Linked DNA regions of Alligator mississippiensis. The protein of the gene in region 4 interacts with the protein of the main gene of each other region in a pairwise test. Links are inferred from orthologs where the notes say so. Each region holds a gene or a part of one and is shown on either strand. Other genes may lie near its edges. The genes, in order: EIF3H, EVL, HOMER3 and ABI3.

What was found.
Region 1: the proteins of ABI3 (region 4) and EIF3H interact in binary tests that used the Homo sapiens proteins (3 or more experiments, as listed by UniProt). The two-hybrid records come from large-scale screens. The link is inferred for Alligator mississippiensis from reciprocal best matches to the Homo sapiens genes ABI3 and EIF3H.
Region 2: the proteins of ABI3 (region 4) and EVL interact in binary tests that used the Homo sapiens proteins (3 or more experiments, as listed by UniProt). The link is inferred for Alligator mississippiensis from reciprocal best matches to the Homo sapiens genes ABI3 and EVL.
Region 3: the proteins of ABI3 (region 4) and HOMER3 interact in binary tests that used the Homo sapiens proteins (3 or more experiments, as listed by UniProt). The two-hybrid records come from large-scale screens. The link is inferred for Alligator mississippiensis from reciprocal best matches to the Homo sapiens genes ABI3 and HOMER3.

Annotation. Positions count from the first base shown.
Region 1 is NC_081826.1:24,947,365-24,955,282, reverse strand, and holds the start of EIF3H (eukaryotic translation initiation factor 3 subunit H), read right to left. Parts: upstream 3,409-7,918; 5' UTR 3,377-3,408; coding exon 3,269-3,376; intron 1-3,268.
Region 2 is NC_081825.1:282,648,847-282,656,408, reverse strand, and holds the start of EVL (ena/VASP-like protein), read right to left. Parts: upstream 3,257-7,562; 5' UTR 3,242-3,256; coding exon 3,219-3,241; intron 1-3,218. UniProt on the Homo sapiens protein: Ena/VASP proteins are actin-associated proteins involved in a range of processes dependent on cytoskeleton remodeling and cell polarity such as axon guidance and lamellipodial and filopodial dynamics in migrating cells.
Region 3 is NC_081839.1:1,369,190-1,377,701, reverse strand, and holds the start of HOMER3 (homer protein homolog 3), read left to right. Parts: upstream 1-5,211; 5' UTR 5,212-5,334; intron 5,335-5,676; exon of another isoform or gene 5,677-5,864; intron 5,865-8,512. UniProt on the Homo sapiens protein: Postsynaptic density scaffolding protein. Binds and cross-links cytoplasmic regions of GRM1, GRM5, ITPR1, DNM3, RYR1, RYR2, SHANK1 and SHANK3.
Region 4 is NC_081827.1:168,641,394-168,649,495, reverse strand, and holds the start of ABI3 (ABI gene family member 3), read right to left. Parts: upstream 3,254-8,102; 5' UTR 2,279-3,253; coding exon 2,162-2,278; intron 1-2,161. UniProt on the Homo sapiens protein: May inhibit tumor metastasis. In vitro, reduces cell motility.

The DNA.
Region 1 (7,918 bases), on a different chromosome or scaffold from region 4:
GGACATCCTAACCAGTGCCAAAAATAGATTGGGAAGGTCTCCAGCCCACAAATGGGGTCACAGATACGGTAGGCAAATATGATAAAAGGTGTAGGAAAAATGCAGCCAGACCCTCAACAACAAGTTCGGAAGAAGACAGGAGAAAATGGGCACAGCCTGGTGCAGCACATGTAAATACATGCCAGGACCTTCCACTCTCTACATCAGTCATTCTCAACCGGGGTGTTTTGACAACCTGGGGCACCTTCAGTTCCTTTCAAGGGAGCCATGCAGTGTCAGTACCCTTAAGTGTGTAAACATGATTCACAAGATAAACCTAGAGTTTTCAAACAGGAATGAGCAGTGTTAAATATGCTTTGACCTATTATGATCTTTCTGAGTTTTTTTAAATGAAAAAATTCTTCTATTATATCTCTGTCGTGATAAAAGAGCAAAAATTAAGAGCTGGCATTTTCCAAGGGGTGTCTCAAGTCTAACAAGGTTGAGAACCAGTGCTCCACATGAATGATCTGCGCTAGTAATATGACTGTGCCCACAGCTCCATGCAAGAGCCATCACCTTATGTTTTCAGCACGCTGTAGAACCAAGGTGAAGAGTGGTCCATGATCCGATTTGGCAAACCCCAGAAACATTGCTGGGCATCCCAAGAAAATACTCCTTTTCCAAAAGCGGTTTTAATACCTGAATCTGCCTCTCACATTTCTGATTCTGCTTAGCCAAGCTGAAGGCAATGCACTTAACTACTCAGTTTTTATTCTTTTGAAATTTGAGAAAGCAGTAGCCATGGCACCAAGAAACATCTGTGGCCACAGGGAAAAAAAATGTTGATGGCACAAATCTCCCTTACTGAATGGGAGAGGCAACCTAGTGGCAGATGATACAGAAAAGACTGAAGTAGTTAATGCCTTTTTTACCTCAGTCTTCACAGGCAAAGTCAGCTCCCGGACTACTGTACTTGGCAGCACAGTCTGGGGAGAATGTGAGCAGCAAACAGTGGCGAGAGAACAGGTATGGGTAAGGGTGGCCAAATATGGCCTACAGGCTGCATCCAACCAACAATATGATTTTATCTGGCCCCTTGGTCCCCCCCAGTTCAAGGTTGGGGAGCAGCCCAGGTTATGGCATGTGCAGATAGTCCTGCCAGCCCCAGGCACAGAGGTGCCACCTACCGCAGAGCACAGCCTACCCTATCCCCACACACAGCTGTCAAGCACACCAGGAGCTGTAATCCATGGGGTCAGATGGCACAGCAGCAGGACTAGGCTTCCTGGCAGCCCCCACAATGGCAGCTCCCTCTGGCTGCCACTGCTGGACCTGGCCCCACTGGCCAGGCACCCTGGCCCATCTGCCTTACACCCACCACTGGGGGAAGATGAAGCAGAGAGGACATGCACACAGGACACGCTCAGCCAGGTGGATGGGATAGGGCCATGGGAGAACAGGAAGCAGCATCAGGGAGCAGAACAAGCAGGTAGCAGCAGGGCCAAGATTGCGATACGGTGACAGTGCGGGGCTGGGGCCAAGCTGTAATCCACTATCGTCACATCCATGCAATGGGCAGCAGGTCTGCAGGCAAGGGACAGCCGCTGCCCACAGAACTGGCACCCATTGCAGGGATTGTGGCTCTGCCCCAGACCCTGGCCTCACACTGTCACCACCCCATGATCCTGGCCCTGGCTCCTCCCACCTGTCCTGTTCCCCAATTCACTTGCAACCCCATCCCATCCGTCCAGCTGAGCACATCCCACCTGTAGGGTCCCAGGCTAGTCTCCATGAAGACCCTGCCCACCCACTCTGTCCAGCATCCCTGACTGTGGGTGCAGAGCCAACAGGCCTGGGGCCAGATAGATCAATTGTCATTTTCCCGCCCTCACCATGCTAGGTAGTGTGACAAGGTGTCAAGACTGGGTTATCACCCCTTCCTCCCTCCTCCCCTCCCCCCCCACAAGAGCTCACCAAAACTCTGGGTCAGCACCAGCAGTTCTCACCCCCTTCCCAAAACAGCTGACCAAAAGTCCTTAAGTGGCCTCCTAGCCCAAATAATTGGCCACCCCTAGGTTAGGGGCTACTTAGAAAAGCTGGATAAATGCAAATGAGAAGTGAAAAGTGCTGCCTGTAGGACCGAATAATCCCAAGCACCAGTACAGGCTGGGGGCTGACTGGCTGGGCAACGGAAAAGGACCTTGGGGTTACAGTGGACAACAAGCTGAATATGAGCCAGCAGTGTGCCCTTGTTGCAAAGCAGGCTAATGGCTTACTGGGCTGCATTGGTAGGTGTCTTGCCAGTAGGTAAAGGGACATGATTCTTCCCCCCTATTCAGCACTGGTGAGGCCACACCTGGAGTCCTGTGTTCAGTTTTGGGCACCCCACTACAGCAAGCTTGTGGACAAATTAGAAAGAGTCCAGCGGACGGCAACAAAAATGGTGAGGGGCTGGGGGACATGACCTGAGGAGAGGCTGAGGGAACTGGGTTTATTTAGTCTGGAGAAGAGAAGACAGAGGGGATTTGGTAGCAGCCTTTAATTACCTGAAGGCTGGTTCCAAAGAGGATGGAGCTGGACTGTACTCAGTGGTGGCAGATGACAGAACAAGGAGCAATGGTCTCAAGTTGCAGCAAGGGAAGTTTAGGTTAGATATTAGGAAAAACTCTCTCACTAGGCGGGCAGTAAAACACTGGCACAGGTTACCCACAGAGGTAGCAGACTCTCCATCCTCAGAGGCTTTCAAAACCCAGCTAGACAAAGCCTTGGCTGGGATGATCTAGTTGGGGCTGGTCCTGCTCTGACCAGGGGCTGGACCAGATGTGACCTCCTGACATCCCTTCCCACCCTCACTTTCTACGATTCGTTTCCTACGTCTGTTTTTCCCCCGCTGTACCACAAAAGGCCACGCTATGTCCAACCTGCGGCCGAGCGACCGGCTCCCACGGGCCACGAGTGCCGGGTCCTGGGACGGCACCGAGAGCTTGTTGCAGCCAAACGGCATCGTAAGCTTAAAAAGGGGCCGTGCCGCGATCTTGCTTCTCGCCCGTCGCACACGCCTCCCCCTCGTGGCGCGGGGTCGGCAGGGGGAGGGCGGAGCGAGCAGAGCACGCGCGGGGATGCGCGCGGGGCCCCCTCGCAAAGCCCAGCCCTGGGGGCAGCGTCGCGCCCGGCCGCGGGGCCTGGGAGGCCGCAGCGCGCGCGGAGCCGCCCCCGCCTGGCCCACGAGGCTCCCACACGGCCGCCGCCAGCTCAGGCCCGCCCCGCCCCAGCCCCACGCACGCACCAGCCCGTCGATCTGCACTTGCTTGACGGCCGAGTCCCCCGGCGCCGCCTTACTCTTGACTTTGGCGACCGCGGAGCCGGCGGCAGCCGCTTCTTTGCGAGACGCCATCCTCCTGAGCCGGCCGGAAAGTGAAAAGGGAAGCACCGGAAGCGGGGTGGGGCGGCCGGATGTGACGCCGCCAAATGCACTCCGGGCGGAAACCTGGGAGCGGGGACAAAGAGCGCATGCGTACGGAAGCTTCGTGCTCGTGTGAGCGCTGGTAGCGCATACGCAGGAGTTGCTGCCTCGCAGCCTGCAGTACGTGGAGGGGAGCTGCGCTGTTGCCCCGTGTAGCGGGGAAGGGCTCCGCTGGGCGGGGTGCGTGGGGTACCTGCGCAGCCAAAGTCAGTTCCTCCAAACTTAGACAGGGGTGTGCTAGGAGGTGACCCACGCATCTCCATCACATCATAGCGCCTGGCCTTCCAACGCCTAACTTTATCCTTACTACATGGTTAATCTAATAAAAGAGATGGCCCTAAGACATCTTTGGCTTTCATCACCCTTATTATATTATTATTGCTTTTGTATCCAGCCTGCTGCATCCAGAAAAGCACAGAGGCTCTTACAGTAACTGACAAGCAACAGTAGATGCCCCGCATCTAGGGAACGCGCTCCATGACACCTGCTCCTACTTCCCTGCTCCTGACCCTTCAGAGAAAACCCCCAACCCCATCCCATCTGCATTTAGGTATAAGTAGGGTGATTGTAGGTCCCAGATTGAAATCCAGAACTCTCCCTTCCAGAGGCCAAACCTGGCCAGCTGAGCGTCTTGTGTGCAGAGCACAAGCTGGAGCAGTAGAAGCTGTGAAATAGGAAGCCCTAGCAGCAAAATTGCCCGAATGCAGGGGTTCTCAAACTGGGTTGCAACCCCCTGAGGGGTTGAGAGCAACTTAAAAGGGGGTTGCTTGCAAACTTCCCAAGGGTACACGCAGCAGTGCAGGGACATGGTGCACGGTGGCGGTGCAGAGTGCTGGATGGCGGCAGCAGCTGCCGCACACAAGCTCCCCATCCACTTCCGCCACCATCTGGCACTCAGTGTCACAGTATGACAAAGTTTGAGAACCCCTGCACTAATAAGGTTAGCTTAATTGTGAAATGACCATTAAAAAGGAGGGTGTTAACACCTGTGAAAAAAACTGTGGGTCATAAATGGGTCATTGACTCCTTAGCTGTCTGAATACTAATACCAATGGTGCCCTGCCTCTGCCTGCAGCAGCAGAGAGGCGGAGGGTGGGGGTGCAGTGTCCCGGATTTCACACTGTCCCAAATTTCACATTGCCCCATGTGGTCACCCTAGGTATAAGAAATCTTCTTCCACTCAAGACGCTCCCAAGCCCATCCATTCCCCTGCCTCACACCAAGAGATCTCTCCCTCTCCCCACCCAAGACGTCCCTCCTAAGACTGCTCCCCCTCTTCTGCACAGGGTCTGGCCGTTCCAAAAATGTATATGTTCTCTTTCCCCAACAAATACAGTGTTCAAAAGAGCATCAGAAAGATCCTCCATCCTGGCTTTGGTCCTTGCTAAAAGGCAATGCCAAAGGGCACCTAATTGCAACATAAGGAGATGAAAACTTTGCCATTTTGTTTAACATAATGTATACAGTTATTCAACATGATTTAACTTACAGGTGTTTTTAAATGTTGTGTAGTTTGCAGTCAAAGGTGTTCTTAATCTGGAATCAAGCATATAAATGCCCACAAAGTAAAGACTTCAGAGAAACACTCTCAAGCCAAAAATGCAGGTAGGAAGATAGTTTTCACTACTCACTGATGGATCCGCTGACTGGTGACATCACATTTTTGTGGGACAGTTATCTCGTTCTCTGCTTGATGTTATGGTATGTTAGGCATATACAGGTATAACTCATAGAAAAATGGGCTGTGAAAATGGGCATAGAAAATTGGGTTGGAAGGGACCTCAGCAGGTCACCTAGTCCAACCCCCTGCTCAAAGCAGGACCATCCCTAACTACATCATTTCAGACAAGGCTTTGTCTACCTGGGTCTCAAAGACCTCTAAGGATGGAAAAGACCTCTAAACCATCCCAGACAAATGTATGTCTAACCTGCAGCAGCAGGGGGGCGGGTGGGGAGGCATGTGGCTTCACCCCCTCCCCTTCCCCCATGATGCCTGTACCCCCACAGATTCACAGAAGTTTAGGGCTGGTAGGGACTTGATGAGATCATCGGGTCCAGCCCCTGCCTTGCTTTGGGCAGGAAAGACTGCTGGGGTCAAATAACCCCAGCAAGATGTGCATCCAAATAACCCCCCTCAGTGCCTGTTGCCCCCTGCCAAAACAGTGAGCACTACTGTCATGGGAGGAAATCAGGTTGATTAGCCGTGATTAGTTCTTATGAAACCTATATTGGCTGCTTCCTATCAGCCTGCTATCCCTTAGATCAGTGAGGGCTAGGGGTGCACTGGTAGAGATTTTGGGGGCTGATACCAATGGCTGATTTTTAATGAGCCATATCAGCCAATACTCAGCTCAGCAGCATGGAGAGCAGCATCCTGCTGTTAAGTCTGTTGGGGAAGGAGAGAGGGAAGGGGTGTGGAGCTGGCAGATCAAGGCCCCTGTGAAGAGGGATGGAGTAGGGCTGGGGATGGTGCTGGGACAGGGACAGGCACTGCATAACCAGGGTGGGGTGCAGGATGGAGCTGCAGGTCATCCATGGGGGAGGGAGACGGCTGTTTCTGCTGCTGCACGCACCCCGGGAGGACATGGGGGACATGTGCCTCCCTGGATCTGTGCGCAGGGTGAAGGTGGGCTGTCACTGTGGGCTGGAGCTGGGGCTCTTCCCAGCATGGGGGCTGGGCCAGGCTGTGCTTGGGGTGAGTGACAGTGGCACTGTGAAAGGAGCTACAGTGAATTTTGGGGTGGCTGTAGCCCCCCTTCCAGCGCCACCACCGCCCGCTCCGAGCGCAACCCCAGCCCAGCCTCCCCAGCCAGGAAGAGCCTGGCGCTGCCTGCAGCCCCAGCCCACAGTGGCAGCTCGCCCTTGCCCTGTGCACAGATCCAGGGGGCACATGTCCCCCATGCCTTCCTGTGGTGCATGCAGCAGCAGAAGCCACACACTCCCCAGCTCCGTCCCATGCTTTGGTCCATTCTGGCTGGGCAGCGCCTGCCCCAGCCCCACTCCCTCACCACAGAGGCCTTGGTCTGCCCCCCACCACACCCTTTTCTTCCCCCATGCCCCTTCCCCCACAAAAGACTTACCAACTGGATGCTGCTCTCTACACTGCTGGGCTTGCTGTGGCTGTGCACGTGCATGCAGCATTTATTGGCAACATTATCATCCACATCAGCCAAGAAAAGTTGATTGCCGATAATGTCAATTTTCCTTTTATCGGGGCCGCTACCATACGAGACTAATATATCGGTGGACCTCTAGTGGGGGCAACCTTTTTGGCAGGCACACCACAAATTAGCTTCACACCCTCCCTGAGTGCCACTCTGATCCTTTCCTCTGCCCAATTTGCTTCTCTGCTTTCTATTCTCTGCTCTCTGTCTGATTTGCTGTACTGTCTTCTACTTCTTCCCCTATCAACTGTTGTGCTGCCTGTCCCCCTCCCCTCCCCATCTGCCATGTGCCACACACACAAGCGGCCAGTGCCACTTGTGGCAGTTATTCTGCAAGTTGGCTACCCCACCCCTGTTCTAGATTATTACAATCAGTTGTGTGATAATATGTTCCCGTATCTTTCCAGGTATCAAAATGAGACTGACTGGTTGCTAATTTTGTGGGTCATCCTTTTTCCCTTTTGTATGAGCTTCATACATGCACATTTCAGTCTCCTCTGCAATTACTTCAGCCAATTTCTTGAGTAGTCTAGGATGAATCTCATCAGGCCCTGCTAATTGAAAACATCTCACTTATGTAAATAATCTATAATTTATTCTGTCCCACACTAGGCTGAGTACCTGTTCCACTGTTTTAGATGCTGTGTTTGTCATTGAATAGTTGACCTTTTTTTGTGAAGACTGAAGTTAAAAAGGCATTAAACACTTCAGCCTTCTCCATATCATCCATTATTAGCTTCTCCTTCCCATTAAGAGAAACTCACTTTTCTTGATCTCCTTCCTACTTATAATGCATTTAAGGAATGCTTTTTTTTTTAATTCTACATCCATTGCTAGCCTTGGCATTTCGGATTTTGCCCCTACATGTTCAGACTCTTATATTCATCCTGTTAGCATGGCCAAAGTTCTCTTTTGTATAAGTCTTCTTTTAAAGCCTCAGCTCTTATTGAAGAACTGACAGTTTGGGTAAGCAGGCTTATTGCTACACTTCCTGTCCTTCCTGTAGATAGGGAGAGCATGTGTCTTCATTCTCTTAATATTGTCTCTTTAAGGAACAATCAAGTTTCCTGCACTCTTTTTCCCTTAGACTTAGCACCCCTGATCTTGCCAATCAGTTCTCTGGATTTAGTTGGAAGTTTCTTGCTTTTATTCTGCTGTTCTTTTTTCCTCCTCCTCCTTTACAGTCACAGATTTTACCATTTCCTAATCAGTGGTTGTGTCTACATGAGATGCTGACTACGCAGTAGCCCGTGACTACAGTGCAGTAGCACTGTGCGGCAAAAACTGCGACAATGCTGCTGTGCAGTAG
Region 2 (7,562 bases), on a different chromosome or scaffold from region 4:
CAATGGTGTCAGGTGCATCAGAAACATACAGATGCTGGTTTTGTGGCTGCATGATGAAAGATGCACTCACTTTACAAACCATCCTGGTGCTACACAGACTAATCTAGCCTGAGCATAAATGTATAGTCTATTCTTGGCCAAAGGAAAAGCATCTTCTATAGCTCTCACAGGATGTTGAGCATTAAGCTGAGAGCATGCACACTAGTAAGAGGCTGAGAGAACCAGTTTGTGAAAAACTATAAAACATACCAGGGGCTAATGATCCTCTGGACACAGTAAAAAGAAACAAACAATGAAGACAACAAACCAGATCCTCAAAAGGTGCAAAGTGGCAAGGTTACTACTGACATAGGGCTCCTTGCGTCACTGCGACTCTCAGGGAAGAAGTAACAGTGCTCTGGAGTTAATGCCTTCTTCCCTGTCAAGAACATGACCTGTGAGGGCCACGTCTGGAATTAGTAAATTCTCACTGAGGTTTCATCCCTTTGTTTCTCTGGGGCTTAAGTCTTGGCTCATTACCCCATCATCACAAAAGCTATATTTCATCCCAAAGCACTTCACAAATAAGTATTTTATAAACAGCATGCCAGGGTCACTTCATCCAGCCCCGGAGTGAAACGCTTGAAAAATCCAACAGTTGTGCAATAGCGCACAATGCTCCACAACCATTTAGGCCAGTGAAGAACACTGCATCAACTTGAAACTGTAGGGGGAACTTAAATAAACAGAATGCAATCACTCCACTTGGAATTAAGCCAGAGTGCTAGCCTGCACCCCTTTTTCAGAGTCTGATGGGTATTTAGGGCCCTCTAATGCCATTTAAGCCTTCGTTCAGAGAAGAGCGCCATCTACTGATTCATCAACTCTACATCCCTACATCAGTGGTTCTCAACTGGGGATAATAAGATCCTTTTCGGGGTGTTACAGTAATATTAGCACTATTAGGTATACAGACACCTACCTACACATAATTCCCAAGATAAACTGAGAGACTTCACATAGGAATCCATAATGTCAAAAAAGTTGGACTTGCTGTGGTCTTTCTGAATTCTTTGCAACAGAATAATTGCTCTGTTACTTTTATGTAGTCAAGAAATGATTAAAATCAGTTTTTGCAACTGGATGCTGCTAAATTCAGAAACGTTATGAAGGAGTACCTTGTGTTTTAAAAGGTTGAGAACCACTCCCCTGGGTGCTCCAGGTTCTCTATCCAAATACTGAACTAGGCCAAACATTTTTATCTTGTAAGATATCCTATTGTTTCATTACAATGAAATACATTTACCAGGCATAAGGGAGAATGCTGAAAAAAGACCAACTTTAAGATATAACCTAAAATGGAACACCACTTAAATGCCTAGTAAAATAAAATATAAGTCTTAAGGCTACTGACCAGACGCCACAGCCCGTATGGGTGGACGATCTTAAAATATCTTCACAGTTTAGACATGCAATTTTCAATGTTATTTTCAAAGTAAGCCTAAGAGGACAAGGCTAGAAAATTCACAAGTCTTATTCAGTGTGCAGACCAGCATTTAAATACCATTGCTACACTAAGTAAAGGTCTTTGTCTGAGATCTCTTCATGTGAATGGGTCTACCACAAGAAAAACCAAACAAAACAAAACAAAAAAACAGGTAGAGCTTTTAAAGTAGACTCTTCAAAAGCGTATCTTTTCTAGCAACAATCTGATCACAGCATTGCTGTATTAATAATATGCTTAAATCCCATAGATGAAATACAGATAGCTATGAATTGATACAGGGATATATAATGACTAGTCAGTTTGGTGCCTATTTACATCTTAATTTACTGTCAGCAATTGGCTGCATCAAAATTTGTGATCATATCTTGACAATCCTATGACAACTGCAGTTACATAGTACTACATGGTGTTCCAGTAAAATCCTTTTAAAAAAAGATTTTACTGAAACAGCATCCTGCTGCATTTCACAAACAGCAGAACTTCTATTCACTGTAAGCCTTCATTTCTTCACAGTTTTACACCTGGATATGGGACAATTTCTTAATTCCCTTCCCCCATCATTCATTTCCATTTGAAATTGATGAGACAAAAAACCCCAAACATTTTTCAGTATCAAAACATTAAAAACCTAGTCATTTTGCCAAAGCACAGATTAGCAGACAACCTTGTCTACATTTGGTATGAAATTTTGAAAGTTCAGAGAAAAAAAATTGGGTGGAGAATGCCAATTGTGTATGCAAAACTGATCAGCTCATCTAGTTATATACTACTTAAGTAATATCATACCCGCCAGTGTTTTCAGGGGTATTTATAAAATTAATATAAAAGAATTATTGCTATAGGAAGACAACATAGCAGAAGATGACCCTGATGTTGTCATAACACTTCACCATTTTTATCTGGCCAGTTTTATGCTATGACTGTTAAGAAACCATATAAACCTAAAAAAGTGAAGACCCATGAAAGGTCAAAAAAAAATTAATAGACCCTAATACAGTTTCATTACAGATTAAATCATCAATTATGTTAGTACCTCTATTTGCTTTCTTTCATATAGCTTCAAAAGCCTGTCATGATTTTAACAGACCTTGATGCATGCATATTTGAGGTATGGGGGGGAAGGTACATTACTGAACAGCACTAATCAACAAGGTCCTAATTTTGTACTTTAACAATCACAGTACTTCAAATGTTTGCCAACAAAACCCCACCCAAACCCCAAATTAGTCAGATTATATTTTTAATGCAATTCATAGGATATTCAGCAGCTACAAGATTATGAAAATGGCATGTATACTCTGCAGCAGCACAAAATCTAATCCCATATATGATCCAGACATCAGTATTTTCTCCCTTAACTATCATGATGTCTATTCCTTATAGAACAAGCATCTGTCAGGTTTGAAGGAACCAAAAATAGCAGAGACCTTTTCAATAGAACAGTTTGCTTTATATTTATAACTCTATACTGTACTTGCAGTGTCTGGTTATATGACTATAAAATATGTGCAAGATATAATAAATTATCCAGCTTTGCACTGCATCATGCAGTTAGCTATCGTTTACCTGCATTTCATCCTAGATATTCCTTACAACACATAGGGTAGATATTTTAAAATTCAAGAAACATTTGCGTCTTCAAGAACTAACTGTAGAGCCGGCTGACATTACACAGCAAAAACCTTGTGAGAACAAAAACCAAGCACACTGATGTATAAAACAGAGAGCCTACCTGAATTCTTCAAATGCATACATGGCCTAGTAACTAAACAAATTCGCTGAAATTTAAAATATTCTTCTTAATGTGCAGGAATACCATTTAGTTTGTCAATCTGCAGCAAGATGCATAATTAAGAGACAGTATATTGCAAATATTCTGAAGGGAAAGGGTATGCAGATACTGGCCTGCAGCCTACAGCTCAGCCAGCTGCTGACAAGCAGCAGCTAACAGGGAAAGGCGATAGAGTACCATGTGATCATTCCAGCAAGTCTGATTAATGCAGTATACTCCAAGAATACAGCCCGGTATCTTTATTATTCTAGCCAAATAAGTCAAATACTTTACATGACAGACTCTGTAGCTAAATGATTGTTCACATTTTACATCAGAATCACACAGAGGACAAAGAGAAAGCCAACTAACATATGGTATTAATGTTTCAATCTGATAGATTAATTAGGCCCATTTACACTGATTTTCTTAGCTTGCAGTGATATTTATTATCTTATGGTGTTTTTTATGCATATTGAATTGTCAGTGTCACAACAGAAGATTAGCACCATAAGCCCCCCCTTCTATAAATGCCAGAACATATTAAGTAGTTTTTCTACTGCAGACTATTCCTGACCATTTAACTCCTTCACCCCTGAATTCTCTGCTATCACATTCAATTTGTAACAACATGTGTGGAATGTGCCAAGTCAAATTCAGGCTTTAATGCCAATAAATCACAGGAGTGCAACTGAAGAAAGACGGATAAAAGCCAAATAGTCACATTTTAAAATAAGATAAAAATAGAAATGGGAAGAGTTGACAATTTTGTGATTTGTGGCATGTGATTCAAGATTCTTCAGCTGCCCAGTCACAGACCAAAACACCCCGGGAAGTTCTTAGATGAAGAGAACACATGTTCATCTGAATGGAAAGTTTCCCAAAAACAGTAACAGAACTTAAAGCCTTTGAAGTCACATGATGAAAACATGGAACAAGGGAGTGTGAAAGGATGCCACCAAAGTACAAATGCTTTATGGCAAGAAACTGGAGCTAAAAGATATTCCAAGCACAGGCTATGGAGAACAAAATTACATCTACTATATGTAGAGAAAGGGGGAAAAAAAACCCAGGAAGATGCAGGACGCACTCCTAGAACGCTTCGAAAGACGAATCATATGCTCTTCAGTAACAACCAGAGAGAACCTATGTCAATAAGCATGACTGCTAAAAAAAGTGGAAAATTAGAAGACAAAGAGCTGTCATTTCCCTGCCTGCTGAGCCACACACCACCTTTGAGGGGAGCTTAAGACTGCTAGAAACACAGGATCAAAGCCATTATCTGTTTAGGCAGAACCTGCACCTGTAAAAGAGGACACTTCATTGGAGGATTCCAAGAAGCTAACCCTAAACCCAAGGAGCCTTCAAAGAAGAAGACGCCTCCAAGAGAGCCAACCGCCACTAGAATCTTAACAAAAACTTGGCACTGAATTTTTCTGGAGCAAGGAGGGTTTTTCTTTAGGGATGAAAGTACGAAAGGAACAGTAAAAACACTGAATTTGATTGTGTAAAAGAAAATAAGTTGTGACAACAGGAATAAAAACTCCTGTCATAATAACATTACATGCCCTGGTTGGCCAGTTCGTAATGTTAGGTTTTGATATGTCGGCTATAAAAAGTTGTATTACCATTACAATATTGTAGTAATTAGAATGCACAAGGTCAAATTTTCCCATTGGTTATGCCCTTTTGATATCTGATGTAAACAAAGGGTAAATTTGGCCACAGAAGTATTTTATCCTCTGAAATGCATATTAAAATGCAGAGGTGAAATGAAAAGTGAATACTTTTGATCCACTCAGGTGGTGTAAGAAGGGAAGAGACTGAAGCTTTCAAACAGAAGAGAAAGTCACCTCCTTCAAAATACAGTCTGGTGAAAGCACGTAAAATACCTAGACACAGAAGTGGAATCCACCTGGCACCACTGAAAACAATAGAAGTTTCATCCTTAGCTACAATGAAACAAGGATTTCAGCTTCGAAGTCAAGGTTAAATCTGGAGAGAGCCCACAGAAATAAAGAAAGAAAATCTGAAGGAGGGTTGCCTACCTAATTTTTGCCCCTAATCCTGCTCTGAAGACAGTGGCTAAACTGCTGTTGATTTCAGAGGAAGTGAGCTTGGCCAGTGTGTGTAATGTTCAGTTTTGATATGCCTGCCATAAAAATGAATTGCATTTAAAAAAATATATCCCCCTTGGATTTGAGCTCGCTAAATCACTGTCATGACTTTCGATGCTGCAACCACTATGAACAAATATGCAAAGAAACAAGCTGCTGTTCAAACCATGACATGGTCATCAATGGCCACTCTGTCCAGGCTGCAGGATGGTGTAAAGGGCAAACACCCTCCAGAAAGCTTTTGCAACAGTGGACCTTTACTGAAAATTCTGACATTTAACAAGTTACCTTAGTTTCAAGCCAATGTTTTCCCAGCTACTTGTAGAGTTCTGTACCGTCCATTTAGGAGCCTTGATCTACAGTGGAAGTAACTGTAATTTCTTGAAACAAAATAATGAAGAGTCCCATGATGAGGAAAAATCTGACCATATACATGTCACATTGTCTACATCAATGAAGATTAGCGTATGAATGCCCAATCGTCTGTATAACTTTAAAAGGTATAATGAACACAGGAGCAGCAAAAATGTCAATGCCTTATGGATCAATAAGAATGGAATGATCCTGCCAGAAGCTTCTTAAACAGTTGCTAAACACAATTATTATTTTTTACTGACAACCTATACAATTCTTTAACTGATGTATTTTATGCAACGTGAATGTAACCTTTCTGCCAGGCTCCGGATGGCAGTAACAAGGGCCACATTCGACTTTAGGGGTTTAACAACAACTCTTAAATCTGGCCTGAGCCCACACCAAGAAACCTGAAAAGCAAATGTAACTGGATGTTCTAAAGTGAACAAACTTTCCCACTCACAAGTAATGTTCTACTAAAACAGGGTTTATTACATGTGTAACAAGGGATAAACATACAACCATAGAGAAAACCTTAACCATTAAACATCAAGTGAAACCCAAACAGTTAATAGACTAAGTCAGCAGCAAAACTACCCAGTCCATTGGAACAAGAGACTCACCCAAGGAGACACAGACATTGCCACCCACCCTGTCCTGCCTGGTGCCTCAGACTGCACAGACCTGCCCACTTTGAGGCAAACAGCTGTTACAAGCAGGCAATGGCCTATAGGATGCAGTGGCAGCACATGACGGGAAGGGGGGCTCCTGTGGCCCACAAATCCTGACAGAGAGCTCCCTGCAGGATGCTCACCCACTCAGACACAAAGTGGTGTTGCTGTGGTCTCATTGTCCATCAACACTGGCATCCAGCCTCTTTCTGATAACAGATCTTTAATCAAGCTCATAGTTTCTTAGTTTTTTTATGGACAGCTCCATGCCTTTTCTTTCTCTCTTTTTTTTTTCTTTTTCCAGACAAGTGTTTTTATCGCTTTTTTTTTTTTAAACAAAATGTCTGTAAACTTACAAATAGCTGGCAACCCTGATCTCAATCAAACTGCAACTTCTGATATCCATGAGTAAGAGTACCGAATAGTGGCTTTATGGTATCTAAGAGAGAACAAAAGGAGCCGTGTGCATCAGAAACCACAAAAGGCAAAGAATAATTCAGTGATAACTCGTTTGTTTGAGCTGGGTAAGCAGGGAAGAGTACAACTGAAAATAAATACCTACCTCATACCCAAACCCGTAATTGTGGAATAGAACAATAAATCCAAATCAGACTTAGTTGGACATTTGGGCAATTATAATTATTGGTAATGACAAACAAGGAATCCCACTCCTCATGTTTGAATCTAATCCAGGTTGCTCAAGCAGTGATAGGTACCATAATCTATTACAATTTGACAGCAATTCAGTGGTTTCATGTAAAATATGCTGGTAGTTTATCCAGTAGAGAAGTGTTCACATAACCAAAATTGTCATCCTTATTGGTAATTTTTGCAGCTGAGCAAGGGGATTTGAAATATGACAATCCAGAACAGGCCAGAAGCAAATTGGCTTGGTCAGCAGGTAAAATCCACCCTTTGGGCTTAAGTAGGGTTGAGGTGCCCCAGGAATGGTGGTGACCTTCTGCACAGAACTGAATTTCACCTTGGATTGAGCTTTTACTCTCTTGCCCTGTGCTGGACTCATTCTGCTGACTTCAGTTGCCATGACGCCTTCCTAGATCCTAAATGATATCGTCTGGTATCACAGACTAAGATATTTTAATGAAGTACTTATTTATCTCAAAGGAAAAAGTTCACTATGCAAGCATTTATCACTGGACTGG
Region 3 (8,512 bases), on a different chromosome or scaffold from region 4:
ACTAATTAAGTCTCCTAATGTCCCTGTGACGTAGTTATTATCTTCCTTATCCTGATGAGGTTAAACAACTTGTCCATGGCCACAGAGAGAATCAGTGTCAGAGCTGTGGATAGAAAGAGTTCCTAGCTCATTTTGTAGGCTCCTACCATTGACCACCAACCCTTTACTTTATCACCTTTTCAAAGCACTTTAGATGCTTTAAATTTAAGTTGCTGATGAATTTTTAATGACTTTTACAATGTCTCTCTCCCAACCCCAAAAAGCCTTGTGACCCAGTTTGCGTACCACATAGCCACTGTGAATTGATTTGCCTTGGAGCATGGCCAGAATTCAGGTACCAAAACCCTTGGCTGCTCAGCATATTTGGTTGAACCAATTTTTTTTTTTTATTAATGCTTCTAATGTCTTCATGTTTGGAGGATAATCTGGGATCTCCAGCACTGAAATCCCCGAACAAAAGGCTGTGCTCTCTCTGTCTCTCTCACACACCAGAGACAAAGTGTAAGGCCGGTTCTGCACTCCCAAACATGCACAGCTTGTTTTCTCTGTTCTCAAGTAGCCCTGGAAGCTGAAGTCCATCTGGAAAGCGTGCAGAAGTACTGCCCTGCTGTACCATCAGACCCACTTTCAAATTAATTGAAAAGGATGCTTGGAAACCAATTTGGTGCGTGCGTTATAGCCAAATAGAAAAAAAGAGACCAAGTAAATGTCATTTAACATACCCTTCTGACTATGTAACACAACTGGATTGAAGTGTTTTTACACGGAGAGTGAGAGTATCTCTCTTTTCATGCATTCTTATTCCTGTGGATCAGACTATCTTTAAAACAGATGTGCGTTGTACAAGGCCTTCTGATGTATACTGTTACATGCAAATACCACAGAAGCAGGGGCCAGCTCTTGAAACTTTCTAAAAGCTGCGAGCACTGTTCAGTTCCCTTCCCAGATCTCTTATGTCTGGCATTTTTTCAGATACTAATCAATGCATTAATAATATTGGCACTTTTCTTGGAAGGATGTAAAGGTGGGAATACTCTGCCTTCTGTGTAAGACTAAGTCATGTGGAGCATGGTGAGGACATGAGAACTGCATATAAAAATGGACAGCTGAAAATGAGGAAGTTGAACAGCTGCTTGCACACCATACTGCTGAGGACTGTCTGACTGCAGTCACCCAAGGTATCGGTAAAATGCAAAAAGCTAGACCAAAGGTGTGTATCTTGGCCAGTGATTTGAACAGGATTCGGTTTGTCTTTTGGCAGTGTGTGCTCTTGGCTATATTCTGAATGGCTTTATGTAAAGAGCTCCATTAAGATTAATGGCGCAGACTTGACAAAGGCCGCGTAATTAATGACATGGGTGGTGATCAAAATATCTCATCTCGTTTCTTTTCTTTTCTTCAGGTCAGGGGACACTTCCCCCGCCCCTCCTCGCTAGGAGGAGGGACAGATAGAGCACAAAACCCTGTTAAAGAAAATCCTCATAAGGCTACTAACATCTGATTTCAGTTCAATTCCTGCTGATCTAATTATCCTAATTTAAATGTGTAAAATAATTAGCTTCTAAGAAGAGCCATAGATAACCCACTGTTAGCAGGTCGATATGAAAGATATTGTGCCCTACTTTCAGTGGTGTCTTCAGTGCAGTTTATTTTAGTCCTTTTGTCATTGGTGGCCATGTTGTGCAGAAGAAGGGCAGAGAAAATGGAGCAAAAGCAGAAAGGGCACAATTCAGTCCTGTGCTGGCATTGAACTCAGCCCTGGCGCTGTGAGGGGAGTCAGTCCTGGAGTCCAGCGGATGAGAGCAGCACCCAGACTGCCCTCACTAGTCCCCAGTTGTCAAGACTTTTCTGGCTGTGGCTTCATGTGCGCTAAGAAACCTTTCCCATCTTTTCCTCCCCTGGTTCAGCTCCCCCAGTATCAGCGCTGAAGGCTGCAGCCTGTTCCAAGCACCATAAAATCTGACCTTGTTCAGATCGGTCTAGCTGACACCACTTATAACACTGGCAGCTGCCCACAGCCTCTCAGCACCGGGCCCCCCAGCATCAGAAAGATGACAACTCTCCAGATAACTCCTATAAATCCTGGGAAATACGGGTGGGAGGGCTACTGTGGCAAAGGGAGGAAGGTGAGGAGTGAAGGCATTGTTGCTGTTCTTTTTGGTACATATTATTTAGATCAGGTATCGGCCTCATCTGGCTGGTCAGCATCAAAGTGCAACAAAAAGTCAGTCCCTCGCCCCAAAATGCTTACGGTCTTAGTTCAGGCAGTCCTGGTGCTTGTCGTCTGCTCAAAGGCTTCGGCGTGAATAGGGCTGGAAGAATGGCTGCTACACCCACATTGCCTTGTAAAACTGCTCGGACATAACTTACTATTTTGGTGAAAGCAACAGCATTGTCTTGAAGCTATTAAGGCATGGAGAAATTAATGTGCAGAACTGGCAGAGATTAACGAAAACTCTCTTGGGGAAATTCCTTATTAAAGTAGGCAACCTAATAAATCACAAGCAAAAATGGGATTGGACTCCTCCAATCACCACACAGTTCAGCACTATTGGCAGTCTGTTCACGAGAGGCCTGGCTTTAGTTTTAGTGGGAAGTGTTAGGTCAGGATTGAGGCACTGTGAAAGCCCAGAAAACAGCACTGTTTTTGATCATGACTCGAGTGCATTGGCAGTGCTGGGTTTGGAGGGAAAGTCGGGACTAGTTCCCTGCCAGGAGCCAAGGTTTAAGGACATCACTAGACGTATGAATATGAGAAGCTTGCACAACTGTTGCCTGCTTTAGCAAATGCTAAGCATGTGCATGTGCTCTTACACTTGGACCGGGTTGCAAAAGGAGGTGCCAGAACTGAATACAGACAGAACGGCTTTTTCTCTTCTAATGCAGCCATTGCTGTCAGAGGAAAAATGTGATCTTTTTTTTTTTCCTTTGGCCATAACACATAAGACAGGGCTGTTCACAGCAGGACCCAAGTCTATAGCTGTACTTTGTGCACTATGCTGCTTCTGAGCCGATGGAAGCAGCTGCGTGGTTGTGATGCTGCAGGTTTGGAGGCTGGGTTGGAACAGAAGGAAAATGGTACCAGAGAGCAGCTGCTTTATGCAGAAACCCCACTGGCAGCCTGCTGGAGATAGTGCAGAAAGCTCAGTAGAAGAGCAGCGGCAAGTCCTGTTTCCTGCCTTCTCTTCCCTGCAAGTCATTAGGCTGCAGGTGCGGCAGGGTCAGTGTGAAGAGTCAACTCCGCTGTGCTGCCTTGCAGAGAGGCAGAACTTGAGACTCTACCTGCATTTAGCTTGTAAACACCTGAGAGGGAGGTGCTCTAGGCACTCTTTAGGTAGGTAGAGAGGTCTCCTGGTAGCAAGACAGCAGGGTGAGGAGGAGGGGACAGCTGTAGCACTGAACACCCAGGTGAGCCAGGGCAGGTGCAGTTGACATTTCAGCCCCCAAAGTGATCCCCAAGGTCAGGCAGCTGTCGCTGCTTCAAATGTGGTGGCAACTCCATTTTCTTTAAAGTGTGGGTATAGTTTCATAGATATTTGCCCACTGAAGAGGATGATTTGGTTCCATTATCTGATTCAATATGGTCTCTTATATTGATGTCTGGGAAACAAACCTAAAGGCCCCAATTCTGTTATCCTGCGCCGGGCATAGTCACTTCTGTTAGTGACAGGCGAGAATAAAGTGCTGCCCATTTCACACTGGTGCAGCTCACGGAAGCTGCGTGGCATCCACGGCCTGAGGACAAAGGCATCAGACTGTTTGGGGCCAAATTCATCCCCAGCGTTAGCCTGGTGGAGTCAATGGATTTACAGCAGGGGAGGAGCTGGCCTGTTGTGGCTGTACAACAAATGTGAATTAGGGCCTTGGAGCACAATCACGAGATGTTTGCTGGTACTCCTAAAGTGCGTATTAGGTGCAGGAAGATATGTTTTCTTTAATACCATCTAATCTATTTCCATCCCTAGATTCTAGTGCTTATTTTGGGCTGCCTATCTCTATCCCTAGAGTCAAATGTGTCTATCTATCTGTCCACCCAACCTTCCCTTGATTTATACATTTTTGCCACGGGACCAGTTCTCCAGTCTCCATTTTCAGTTCTGTTATTTATGCCTGTGCAGAGTAGGTGCAAAAGACCCCAGGTCACAGATTTAAAAGCCAGCTGTGTAACACAGGCCTTCTTGGAATTAATTCTTCTTTGAACTAGAACACATCCTTTGCTAAGACACCTGACCTTAATTCAACATCTCCCAGGGATGAAGTCTCCACCCGTCCCTAGATGAGCAGTTCGGTTGGTTAATAACTCTCGCTGCTAAAGCGCTGCACCTTATTTCTAACCTAAGCCTGTCCAGGTTTATGGGCTGCGATCAAGTCTAAAGACTTGCAACTTTAGGAGCAGATTGAATTCTTCAAATTCTTATAATCTTTTACCGGGCAGGCACAGTTTCCAGTTTTTTAAAGCATCCTTCCCTCAGCCCTCTGCAATTTTTTTAAACTTCCTTTTTGAAGTGTCTCTTGCATGTTTGAGGGGTGTAGGTTGTAGCCGTGTTGGTCTCAGGACACAGGGTCCAAGGAACCTTGTCTTCTTGAACTGTAGGCACCAGAGCTGGATGCATCACTCCAGAAAGTGGTTGCTGCAGTGCCAAATACAGGGGAAATATAGTGTGTCCGTATGTCCCTGTTTGTACATCCAAGGATTGACGTCGTGTCACATTGGCAGGTCACGTTCAGCTGATTTCCCACCCCACTCCTCAAGTGTTTTCTCTCTCTGCTTCCCAGAAACTTCCCTTCCCCCAATCCCTCAATCCCTTACAAATGTAATAGCAGCTCAGCCTCGCTTTGCACAGGTGCAAACGTCCACCCAGAATACAAAGGAATGGAGAATTTGGCCCACGCAGGGAGGTGAGGGAAACCACTCCCTAGACTGGAATAAAAGGGACGTGCTGTTTTTCTAAAGTATTAGCGAACACGTTTGAGATACCTGGGGTAGAAGGGGCAGGCTGTATTGGAGCAGGCAGCAGCTGCTCAGACCCCTTTGGTCAAAGCTTAGACCCGTAGTATGTACGAGATTACAATATAAGGGCGAAGCCCCGGGAAAGGAGGTGTGTTGGGATATCTTGGAGCTGTGCTGATCTTATTTAGCAGCTTGGTTTTTCGGCGGGTGTAGATGTGAGCTGTGCCCGGCAGGTGGTGCCTCTGAGCCAGCTGGAACCCATTGGAAATAAAGTGAGGAGAAAGAAAAGAGAAATGTGACCGAGATGGGGCAGTTGGCAGAGGAAGGAAGCGGATAAAAAGAGAGAACAAAGAAATCGCAATCAAGAGGGATCAACTGGAGAGGTAGCTTTACTTTTTGGGCTGTGGAAAAAACTTCCAGGGTTTATCAGTCGCCTAGAGTAGAAGGGAGTGGGCAGCATTGTTTAAAGGGATTGCAAAAGCAGTGAATAATCCTGCTGCTGCTGCTGCTGCTCTCCTCCCCATGCTGAAGGGAGGAAGGGATCCTGCGAGCAGGAGAGAGGAGGACACTGCGGGCCGGAGGCTGCAACATCTCAGCAGCAAAGTGTGCTCCAAAGTTCTTGGCCAAGGTCCCCTGGGCTGCCGCTCTCGGTGGGGAAGACCTCTCCTCGGGAGGGTGTTCGGGACCTCACCCAGCCTCCTCCCCCACGCCCTCTGGGATTATAGGTCATTTTGAACAAGCAACAAAACTAGCGGATTTCAAAGTGAAATTCCGGAGGAAATTTAAAGAGCATCCGGATCCGGAGAAAGAGAGAAAGAAAGAGGAAGGGAAAAATAAATCAAACGTGGAGAGGAGCTAAGGCGGCCGAAGAGAAGCCCAAGAAGAAAGAAGCTGACACCCAGGCGGAGATGGGGTGAGCCAGGCATTTTGATTATTACTCGTGTATCTTTTGTTTTCGTACCAGTTTAAATAACCCAACATGTTTTTTAAGGTATATCCGAGCCGAGGGGATGAGGGCTTCAGGTTGCCATCAAGAAAGAAATGCCAGTTTAAGAGTACAAAGCAGCCCTAAAGTTTAAGGGTTCACAAAGTAGACAACTGCAAATCTCGGCAACTTCTTGACAGGTACCAGGATACAGGGACGGGGCCCTGGGGTCCAGAGCGGGAGTCAGGAACAGCCCTTGGCCACCTTCTCCCAAGTTAAAAAGGACAGGTTTTGTTTTTCCCTTGTGACCTTGGTGCTCAGTAATTGGGATACTGCTTGCATTTCTGAGCGGGTGAGGAGTCTGATTGGAAATCTCCAACGTGAGTTTAAGTTTATGACCCCCTAAAATCTTCCAGGGGTGAAATATGTTGTGCTTAAGTGGCTAGAAGGCACGGGCATGAAAAAGAGATTGTAGCCTGGTGTTTAATTAATGTGCTGGTAATAAACCCCAGCCGTGTAATTTTAAGACCCTGACGTTGCTCTGAGCGAGTTGCTTTGTAATGAACTCTTCTGGGCCACTCAGAAGCACGTTGGGCCGGGAGGAGCCCGGCCTCCCCAGATCCCCCCAAGCTGTCAGTGTGAGACTAGAGGGCAAGTTCACTGGCTTGTGTTTCTTTTGCTGAGTTTCTGATTTTTGTTTTAGGCAACCCAGGAAGAATTACTGGACAGAGTGAAATATAGATGGGGGTGGCAGAAGGGGCAGAGGCACAGAACCAGGTCTCAGTTAAACCAGTATGAATCTGGAGCAAATCCACTGAAGCCTGTGGGGCTTACACTGGTCCCACTCGAAATCTGAAACTGCCCCATGTCTCCGTGATCCCTACCTTGAATCCAAAACTTCAGCCTGGGGATTGCCAGGAAGGGTGTTTCAGGTGCATAGGTTGGGCCTGGCGCCTTATTCTCCAGGTGTATTAGATGAATCCTTCTTGGAGTCATCACGACTACACCCAGCAGCTCTGCGTTTTCTTTAGAGGCCTGCCAGTTCCCACAGAAAAGGTTGATTCGATGTCATCCTGATATTTTCTTAGATCTCGCTCTAATTACAGGGTTGCAGCAGCAGCAGCAGCACTGCTGTTACCGTGGAGGTGGTGTTTCTATCCCAAATCCCCTGTTTTTAGTTGCATAGACCTTCTGAACTGAAATGCCTTTGTGCTTGTGTATCGTTCACATGGAAATGTTGAGCAGCCATCTGCAGGCATTAGATTTCTCTGGATTCCCAAGGCATTAACAGAGCATCCCCTTTTGAATCATTTTCCACCAGTTGATTTAAGCGAGCTCATTTTGAAGTAAGGATTCAGTCCTTACCCCTCACCAGTGACTCTTAAATCTTGCCTATTGTATGTCCTCCTGATGCTCGTTCTGGTATCTCTGGGTAGCTTTCCCGCACAGCCTGTTCCTGGACTCTAATGTATCCCCGTTGCACAGTAGGTTTTCAAGTGCTGGCTCCTCTTCTTTGGAAGAGTCCACTTCCAAACGTTGCTTGGATCACAAGGGAAGCAAATGCATTTACCTCCCGGCTGCGCCTGCAGTGAGCATTCGTCCGCACTTCCACCTAGCAGACGACACAGCAGTCTCCGCTGTAGGGAGGACTAGGATGGGCGTCGGAGAGGAGAGGCTTCTGGTCATGCTTCAGGAGCCCTGGCTGCGCTGTTCAGGGGCAGGACTGAAACGGCAGCAGAGGAGAATGGAGCTGCGCCCACTGAACTGAGCAGGCATCCATGTCTGGAAGGGCTGAGGATGCTGTGGTTAAAATGATTGCACGCAGGCAGAAACATGCACAGAGCACAGCGGGGTGCTCGTAGATGCTTATTACGGGGGGGCATTGGAAGCCCAGCACTGGAGGGACGAGGGTGAGCTGTCAGCAGCGCTGCCCAGACTCTAGCTTTCTGGGTTAGGCTACGCACTACTTAAATGCACTCTGCTTCCCCTATGTTCAAGACTTCCCAGCACCGTGCAGATAAGGCTCCAGTCCGTGTGTGGCACTGGGAGAGCCAGTGGAGACGTCCGTCCCCGCACGGGGACTGTTCCAGGCACGCGCTGTGCACCCAGCCGCAGAGCCATCCTCGTCACCTGGGACCCGGGCCTGGTGGCGAGAGGTGTCCAGGAAAAGCAATGCTTCATAACGGTGCTGGGCCTTTAACGCCCAGGTCCTCCTTTCCCTGGGTCTGAACTTGCACGCTTGCACTCGCGTTCCACCCCCACGACTAATCCGACAGGAGTGCAATTCCCCTGGTGCCCTTTAGCAGCAAACAGGCTGGGGGGAGCTGCTTTTGTACTAAGCTCTCCTAGGTTAATCTCTCACCGGGAAGCCAAGGGTACACCAGGGAAGGAGGAGAGGGGAGGATTAGTTCGTACGCTCCCTGCCACGCAGTCCGCTAGGCCGCAGAGACTCTGGGCTTTCCATCAGATCCGTGCCAGAATCTCACCCCGTCCCAGTCGAATGCTGTCTCTGGCGCGGTCTTGCACCCATGCTCCTGCCCAGCGGACCGTCTCCTGGTCCTGCGCACTGGCAGGAGGGAGAGCCCTGTCCCTGGCACTTCCAGCACCGCATCCCTGCTGACTCAGCGCAGCAGCGG
Region 4 (8,102 bases):
CTCGATTATTTTCCAAGGTCCCTTCCAGCCTTATTGTCTATGATATCTATGAAATTCATACAGCCTTTTGAATCTATGTGGAGGGAAGGTGATTAAACCCTTGGACTTGGGCTTAGGAAACGTGGGTTCAAATCCTGTTTCAGCCATGGGCACCTGATGAGGGGCTGAGCCAGTTACTGAACCTCTGTGCATCAGTTTCCCCTTTATAAAATTTGGATAATGTTCCTTTGTCTATTTAGAGTGAGCAGCACCCATCAGCAGAGACCCCCAACCTCAACTCTGGCTTCCTGTCACTGACAAAATGCAAATGATATGATCAATTCAGAACCATTCTTTATTGCCATTTGATGGAAGGCTGTGATGCTTCGGTGGCCAGGGAAGGAAAGACGCTGACCTTTCTTTCCATAAGCAGGCGCAGGACAACACTGGACTGACCTGGGAGGCCCCTTCCTGCCCCATGAGACCCTAGAACAGCCCTCCCCCAGCAACTGTCACTGAAACCTGATGAGAAAGAGCAATAGGGAGGAACTTCAAGGTCAAAGCCACAGTTCAGAGACATAGGGCCTTCATTTCAGGGGATCCTGCCGCTTCACAGGTGTGTGGGCTGAGCAGTATCAAGCAGCCTTCCTCCCCACATTTCCTGTCACATGCATTGCAATGAGGACCATTTTCACCCGTGCACTGACCTGTAACATCTTTCCCCATATTAATGTGTGAATAATGTACCATGCTTCCCCTTTAAGCAAAACATAAAATCTGTCTGAAGTCATCAAAACAAACACTGAACAAATACAAGGGGTCCTTTAGTCTTTTCCCACCATATATTTCAGTGCCTATAACCACAGACCAACAGGATGACTTCACGGCTAAGATACTGGCTAAGACTCAAAACATGTAGGTTCAATCCTTGCCTCTGCCACACACTCCTTGTATGACCTTGGGTAAGTCACTTAGTCCTCCTGGACAAGTCCCTAACCAGAAATGGAGATAATGGTTCCTTGCTTGGTCAGTCTTATCTATTTGAATTATAAACTTTTTTGGGGATAAGGCAGTCGCTAGCTATGTGTTTGTAAAGTACCATAAACAAGAAGGTCTTTAAAAGCTCTTGTAAGACAGTTCCAAATATGGGCTTGTCTGGTATCCTTTCAGAGACACTGTTCTGTCTCTGGGCTTCATATTGCTGCCTGGCATGGCATTTTTCATGTAAAAGCAGAAGGGAAATCCCTAGCAGGATCCTACCAAGGGAGCTATCCCCTGCTTTGTTTTTCACCCTTTGCTCTGGGCTATCCCAGGAGTTGCCACAGCTCGGGCCTGGGCTGTGCTTTACTAGGACAAGAGAGATCTGATGAGTTATATTTTGCAGTCACGGGGGTCATTACTTTTTTGGCCACATAAGTCTGATCATGCCTGCTCGGCAGATCAGTAGCTGTTTGTCATTATCAGCAAAGTAGCACCCACAAACCCCAGCTGAGATCACACCCTCCTCCACTGGATGCCATACAAACCCATAACCACTGTCTTCACAATGGGAGAGGTGTGTTCTCAGTTCAAGCTTGTGTTCTCAGACAAGGCGGTGTGCCATTTTTGCACAAGTTAGCTAGCTGAATTAGAAAGGAACTGGGGTTCAGATCCTCAAAGGTACCTAATTCTCACTGGAGCCAAAGGGCATTAGACACCTAGATCTCTTTGAGAACCTGGGCCAAGGCTCCAACTTGAGTGAAGAATGCCCTTTCTCTCCACGGTGCAGACAGGGCCATAGTGTGGGAGTTAATGCACTAAAATGTTGACAGTCTAAAGCAGTACTTCTCAACCAATATGCCACAGCATGCACTTCTCTGAGATGACAGCAAACCAGGGGCAGAGCCAGGATGAGAACCCAGGGATCACACTACAGCCCAGTGCAAACTCACTCCCCAAAGCTACAATGATTTTTCTGTTATGCACAGGCTACACAACACCCCTCTTAATCTTCTGTACGAGCTGCCTTTCTCCACAGCCTCACAACCTCCAGTGACTGCTGCACCTGCTGTTTCAACAAGCTGCCACTTGCCACATTTCTTCCTTTCCCAGGCAGATGTCCTGGCTCCTCCTAGCCCCAGCCACCTCCCCTGGAGCCACAGGGCACAGCTGGGCATGCGGAGGCCAGCAGGGACACACTCACCTGCATGTAGTTGTTCTCACAGTAGTCAGCCACTTTGTGGAGGTTGCTGTAATTGTCCCGCAGGACCTGTCTGGCAGAGGGGATCTCATGCTGCTCTAGCTGCTGCAGCTCAGACATACTGCTCTGGGTTGCTGCTTTGCTCTGCTCCTCTACCACTTCCTTCTCTGTGAGGTCTGCTGTCTACACAAGAGTTTTGAACCTTGCAGCTCTCAGAGCCATTGGCTGGGGGCCCAGTCACACTCGGAACTGGCCTCCACCTCCCCTTTGCATTGTGGAGACAAGCTGACGCCTTCAGCATAAACCCTCAAGGTTCACTGTGATCATGGCCTGTCATCCAATTGGCTGAGTTTGAGGGATCCCTGCCCCAAAGCCTTTGCTAGCTGCCCTCACAGCACAGTCTGCATCCAAAGACTATCACAATGACTGAGGAAGAATAGGAAATTGCCACCCGACACATTGTTCTAGACCTGTGTCTGTGTACTGGACTCCCCCACCTTCCAGGAGGCTTGGACTCAGACTGGATCGCAGTGCAAAAAGAGGAGGCAGTCCCAGACAGGTGTTAAAGCAGAGCCGATCCCCTCAGCCTGGGTCCGGAGGGACGAGAATCGATGGAGACAGCAGCACACGCTAGCAGACATGCTCCAGGGACACTCCAGGGACCAGGGTGAGAGCAAAGTAGTGGTCATAGAGGATGTGAGTCATGCTTTCCTGAGGCAGGGAGAGGGGAAAAGTGGGGCTGAACTTTCAGGCTGCCTCAGGCTCCTCAGCCTGCTCCACTTCTGCCACCTGCTTGCAATGTTTGGTCCAACAGTCATGACTAAACCAGATGTGGTCCTTGAAGCCTCCTGATAGAAACACAGCCTCACAGCACAGCTCTGGAGCAAAAGGCTTGGCCCTTCTGAAGCCAGCAAGGGGAGAGCTGAGGGCAACAGCAATAAGGTCCTGGGTTGCCTGCCACAGTGAGCCCTGCACCATCCTCAGAACCAGCTGGAAATCTCCATCTAGCTCATAAACAGGCTCAGCCCTGCTCTTTAGACCTTGATTGCATGCTGCACAGAGGGAACCTTATCTAACTGTGTCTTCACCTGACCACAAGCAAGGACTTAGCACACTTTACATCCAATCTATGCTGTAACATGGAACACCAGGCTCTTCCTCGCTGTGCTGTGCTGGCATTGTGTGCCCTGCAGCTGGGGCTTCTTCAAGCTTGGGCAAGTCCCCGTTGGCATGGAGCCCACTTCACCCACAAAACAGGCAAGATGAAGGAGGATATAAAAGGAGATTCCCCAAGCAACCAGGAAGGAAGTAGATAGGGACAGTGAAGAGGGAAGTTTGTAAGCAGTTCACTAGGAGCAAGAGGAAGAAGGAAAAGAGGAAGAAGAGCCAGACACCAGATCCTGCTCCTGGAAGGTAAGTGAGCTAGGGCTGTCTGTGTGTTTGGTTTGCTGCATGAATGCCACGTGCCCTCAGAGGCTGGGGATGCATGGCGAGCTCCTGCAGGCAGTGGCAGTGCCAAGCAGGAAGCTCCCACAGGCAGCCACGGCGGTGTCAGCAGCAGCAGGGGGGAGGGTGGTGAGCGCCAACCGGTGGTTGGTGACCACTTGCAGACACTGCTGGCAGCGGCGCCAGTGGCGATCACAGACCACCCGCAGTGTCGGCAGTGCCTTTTTGCAGGGGGTGCACCACCATGCTCAGGGAGCGTGCATGCACCTGCATGCACCCCCTAGGCATCGCCAATGGTTTGCTGAGTGTTTGTTTGGTGAGCTGTGTGTTTGGGCATGTGCTCTGAGCAGCTGAGAGCACTGCTAGCTGGGGGATTGCTGCCCATGTCTGACAAAAGCCCTAATAAGGGGGTGGAGGCAGTCCAGGCCCAGGAGGGTATAAAAGTAGACTCCTAAGTGACCAGGGATAGCAAACTGGGCAGTATGGAAGGAGTTTACTAGGAGTGAAAGGAAAGAGGAAGCAGCACCAGATCTTGCTCGTGGCAGGTAAGTGAGCCAGGGCTGTCTGCATATTTGGTTTGCTGAGTGTTTGTTTGGTGGGCTGTGTGTTTGGGCATTTGCCCTGAGCAGCTGGGAGAGCTGCTAGCCCGGTGATTGCTGCTTGTGTCTGACAAAAGCCCTAGTGAGGGGGTGGAGCCAATCCATGCCCGGAGGCTGTAAAAGAAGACTCCCTGAGTGAACAGGAGGGATGGCAAACAGGGCAGTTTGCAAGTCCATTCTTTCCTGGCAGGGGAGAAACCATGAGGTGACTTTCCACCCAGGTGGTTTTACTTACCTGGCAGGGCAGATACCCTTCTTCTCAGCCTGACTCGGTGTAGTTAGAGAGGGCAAAGCCCTGTCCTCTGTCCCTGACCCCTGCAGGAGTCTACAAATGCCTCCAAATGCAAGAATATCAGCTACACAATTTATGGTGATGGGGGATTGCTCTTGGACTTTCCCTCTAACTTCCTCCTTTGCCCTTTTGGGTAAGGGCAAGCGAGGCTAGGGGGCATCTGAACTTCAAGGCGACCAGGCTTGGGGCTTGCATGTAGAACGCCTGCTATAGATTTGGGCGTATCTGAAGTCTCAGGCAGAAGAGTTTGGGAAGTATTATACGTGCTGGAGGTAGCACCACACAGACTTGAATGATTGAGCTCTGCTGAGTCAATAGAACTCCAAACTGATTTGGCCCAAGACATGACATTTAAAAAAAAAAAAAAAATCAGTTGGCAGGTCAGTTTGCTGGCCCCCTCTTTGAAGGGGAGCCTTTAATTAAGCACTCTCTTTAATTAGGAGTAACTAATTTATATATATTTAGCATAAGTATATTAAGCATAATACTTAAATTCCTTGTTTAACTAGAGTCCAGAGTGAGGGACAGCTTGCTAGGGAGTTTACCTGGAAACTCTCTCTTGCCTTCCTTTGCTGTTAGCTTAGTGAGAGGAAGCAGGTTAGCAGGCAAAAAGGAACCTCTCAGGACCAAGGAGCAATGACCAGGCTAGCTTACAGGAGAGTTTGCTAGGGAAGGTCTGCTTAAGGAGAGATGTAGGAGCAGAGGCGGTAGATTAAGAAACCCAGAGAAATGGTTGGAGGAAGTTGCAATGCTAGAGCCACTGCCACCGCCAGCTCTTCCTTTGTTTGCACCTGTCAGGCATCTGTCCAGGCAGGACTGCTCACAATCAAGTCTTCCACCCAGGTCCTGGTTTGGCACTGCATACACTGTGGCTTGCAGACTCCTTCCAGTGACAGCCAGGTGACGGAGTGCCTGCAATGTAAGCAGTACCTTCTGGTGCTGTCCCTCAGGTGCTGGGAGCTAGGGCAGGCAGGGCAGCCATTGCTGGGCTGGGAGAGGGGCGGGGGATGGGCCTGGCCTGGATGATTTGGAGATTCGGCCGCTGCCAAATCGCTGAATTGAATCGCTGTCCTCCAAATCGATCAAATCCAAAGAGAATACTAGCCGCTTCGCACAGGCCTAATGGCAAGGCTCTGAAGCATCCTCTGCCATGAGGACTTCATCAGTTCAGTGCTGGAGGATACTTCTAGGACTGTGGAGGGAGGACTGCCAGAGGCAGCACTAGAAGGGAAGAGGACACAGATTCCCAGAAAGATGGAAGCTGGAAGTTTGTGAGCTCTGGCAGCAAGCAGAAATGTTAATCTCCACCTGCAGTGGTTTGCCTAGAGAACAGATAGGGAGCCCTAGCAACAGAGGAGGAGGAACAGAAACATGTCCCATTGGTAGAAGAGGCCCCATCCCCAAGTTTGGGAGGATTGAGACTAAAGCCCCCATCATGTCCCAGCCAGCCCCTCTGCAGCATGTTGAGCTGGGTTGGAGGAGCCCCGGGCTGGCAGGCTGAGCCCCTGGGGCCCCTGCCAGCTGTGGCTGCTCCAACCCAGCTCAATGTGCTGCAGTCCTGGGCCCACATTCAAACAGCATGCTCAGGAGCAATCATGCTGGAGCTTATTACTGCATGCTAATAAAACATGTAAATGCACCCAGTGAGGATTTAATTGCAATCTTCAACTACCTGAAGGGTGGTTACTATGAAGCTGGAGTTAGACTCTTCTCAGTGGTGGCAGATGACAGAACAAGGAGCAATGGTCTCAAGTTGCAACAAAGGAAGTTTAGGTTAGATATTAGGAAAACATTTGGAGGGTAGGTAAAGTACTGGAGCAGCCTACCCGGAGAAGCTGTGGAGTCTCCATCCTTAGAAGCTTTTAAGACATAGCTAAACAAAGCCTTGGCTGGGATGGTATAGTTGGTAATGGCCCTGCTTTGAGCAGGGGGTTGGATTAGATGACCTCCTGAGATCTTCTCCTTTCCAAACCTAATTTTCTATGATTCTATAAAGTAGTACAGTTTTTACCTTGGCCCTGAGTGAAAATACTATAAGAAAAGGTCTAAGAAGGATCAAAGCTTGAGGGAGAAACCAATAATAATGATAAAACAGCCCAGCCTGAGAGCAGCATCCCATGGTGCTAGGTGCTGTACAGACCCTCAGACAAACCATTCCTGTCCCCCAAAAGCTTGCCAGTTTTTCAAAGCCCTTTTGCAGGTGTGGACACCCAGAGGTCCCTGGGGTTGAGGCAAATTTCAGACAGATGAGCCAGATAGATAAATATCATACGTTTTCCAGGGGGAGAGTGGCTAAGCAGTCACCCAGGGCAGTGCTTTACCTAATAGGCAACTCTCTCTGACCTGAAATATATTCTAGAGTCCTCCCTAACATGGTGTGGGCATCTGCTGGCCTGTTAGTTTATGCTCCTAAGGGAGCACATTGTGCTGTCAAGTAGCCATCTGTAGCTGAAATGTGTGTTCAGAGGCTGGTTTCACAAAGGCATACAGCCTGTCCTGACAAACTCTATAGCCACGTCACTTGTACCATTAATCTCCAGCAAGACCAAGAGCCCAGGCAAAGAGTAAAAGCAGTCAACTCCCTCCCCTGCAATCCCAAGGGCTGGAGCCTTGCTTCCTGCTTCAGCCATGCCTCCAGGGCAGTGTCAGGCCTAGGGTAAGAACAGGGGTGGGCAATTATTTTGGGCAGGTCGCTTACTGAGTTTTTGCAAGCCATCGAGGGCCACATGACAGGCAGCCAGGGGCAGATAAATATTAATTTTCTAAATTTTTTTAGGGGCCCCACGGGCCAGATAAAATGGCCTGGTGGGTTGCATCTGGCCCGTGGGCTGCATTTTGCCCAACCCTGGGTAAGAAGGTACAATTCTGTTACACTCATGTTCCACCTTTGGGAAGACCTTTCACTGAAGAAGTGATACAGATAAGGGAGAGAGGGCAACTGCTGCCAGGGGGCTGATCTGGGAAGGGAACATTTATGTTCATCTCTGACAAGGAAGGCTTCCTTGATGCTAGTCCTAGCTCCATACACAACCACATTTCTGCTATCACTGCCCCACTGGTTTTCTCATTGGTCATGGAATGTCACTTCCATGAGGTGCTCTCTTCCCTGGTTTGCCCCATCGTGGCTGTCTGAGGGAGAATGAATGCACATGCCTAGCCATCTGCTCACATTCAGCCCTCCAGTCAAGTTGCACCAGGAGTGAGTTTGGCCCATGATGAACAAATGAAATCTGCTGGAAGGTGGTTAACACTCTGCAGTTTTCACCATGCACATAAATTCATGGTGAAAACTGCATGGGGGTGGTTACTCCAGGCCAAGGAAGTGCTGGGCTCTGTTGTAACTAAATGAACAGGCCTGAAGGTGATCGCTTCATCTGCATGAGGGTCCACATGGGTGGAGAGTCCTAATGAAATGGACTGAGCATCCTGGTGTCCAAAGTCCTCCATCTCTGGAACAAACAGAACAATCATTTTTATGACAGCCACCAAATCAATCCTCAGCCTACTGTGGAAGACCATTGTTGTCATCAGCCAAGTGATGTCATTTAACCTTTCTCTTCCTCTGCTGAGACTGACTAGGCAGCCAGTCAATGCCACCTGTGGCTGT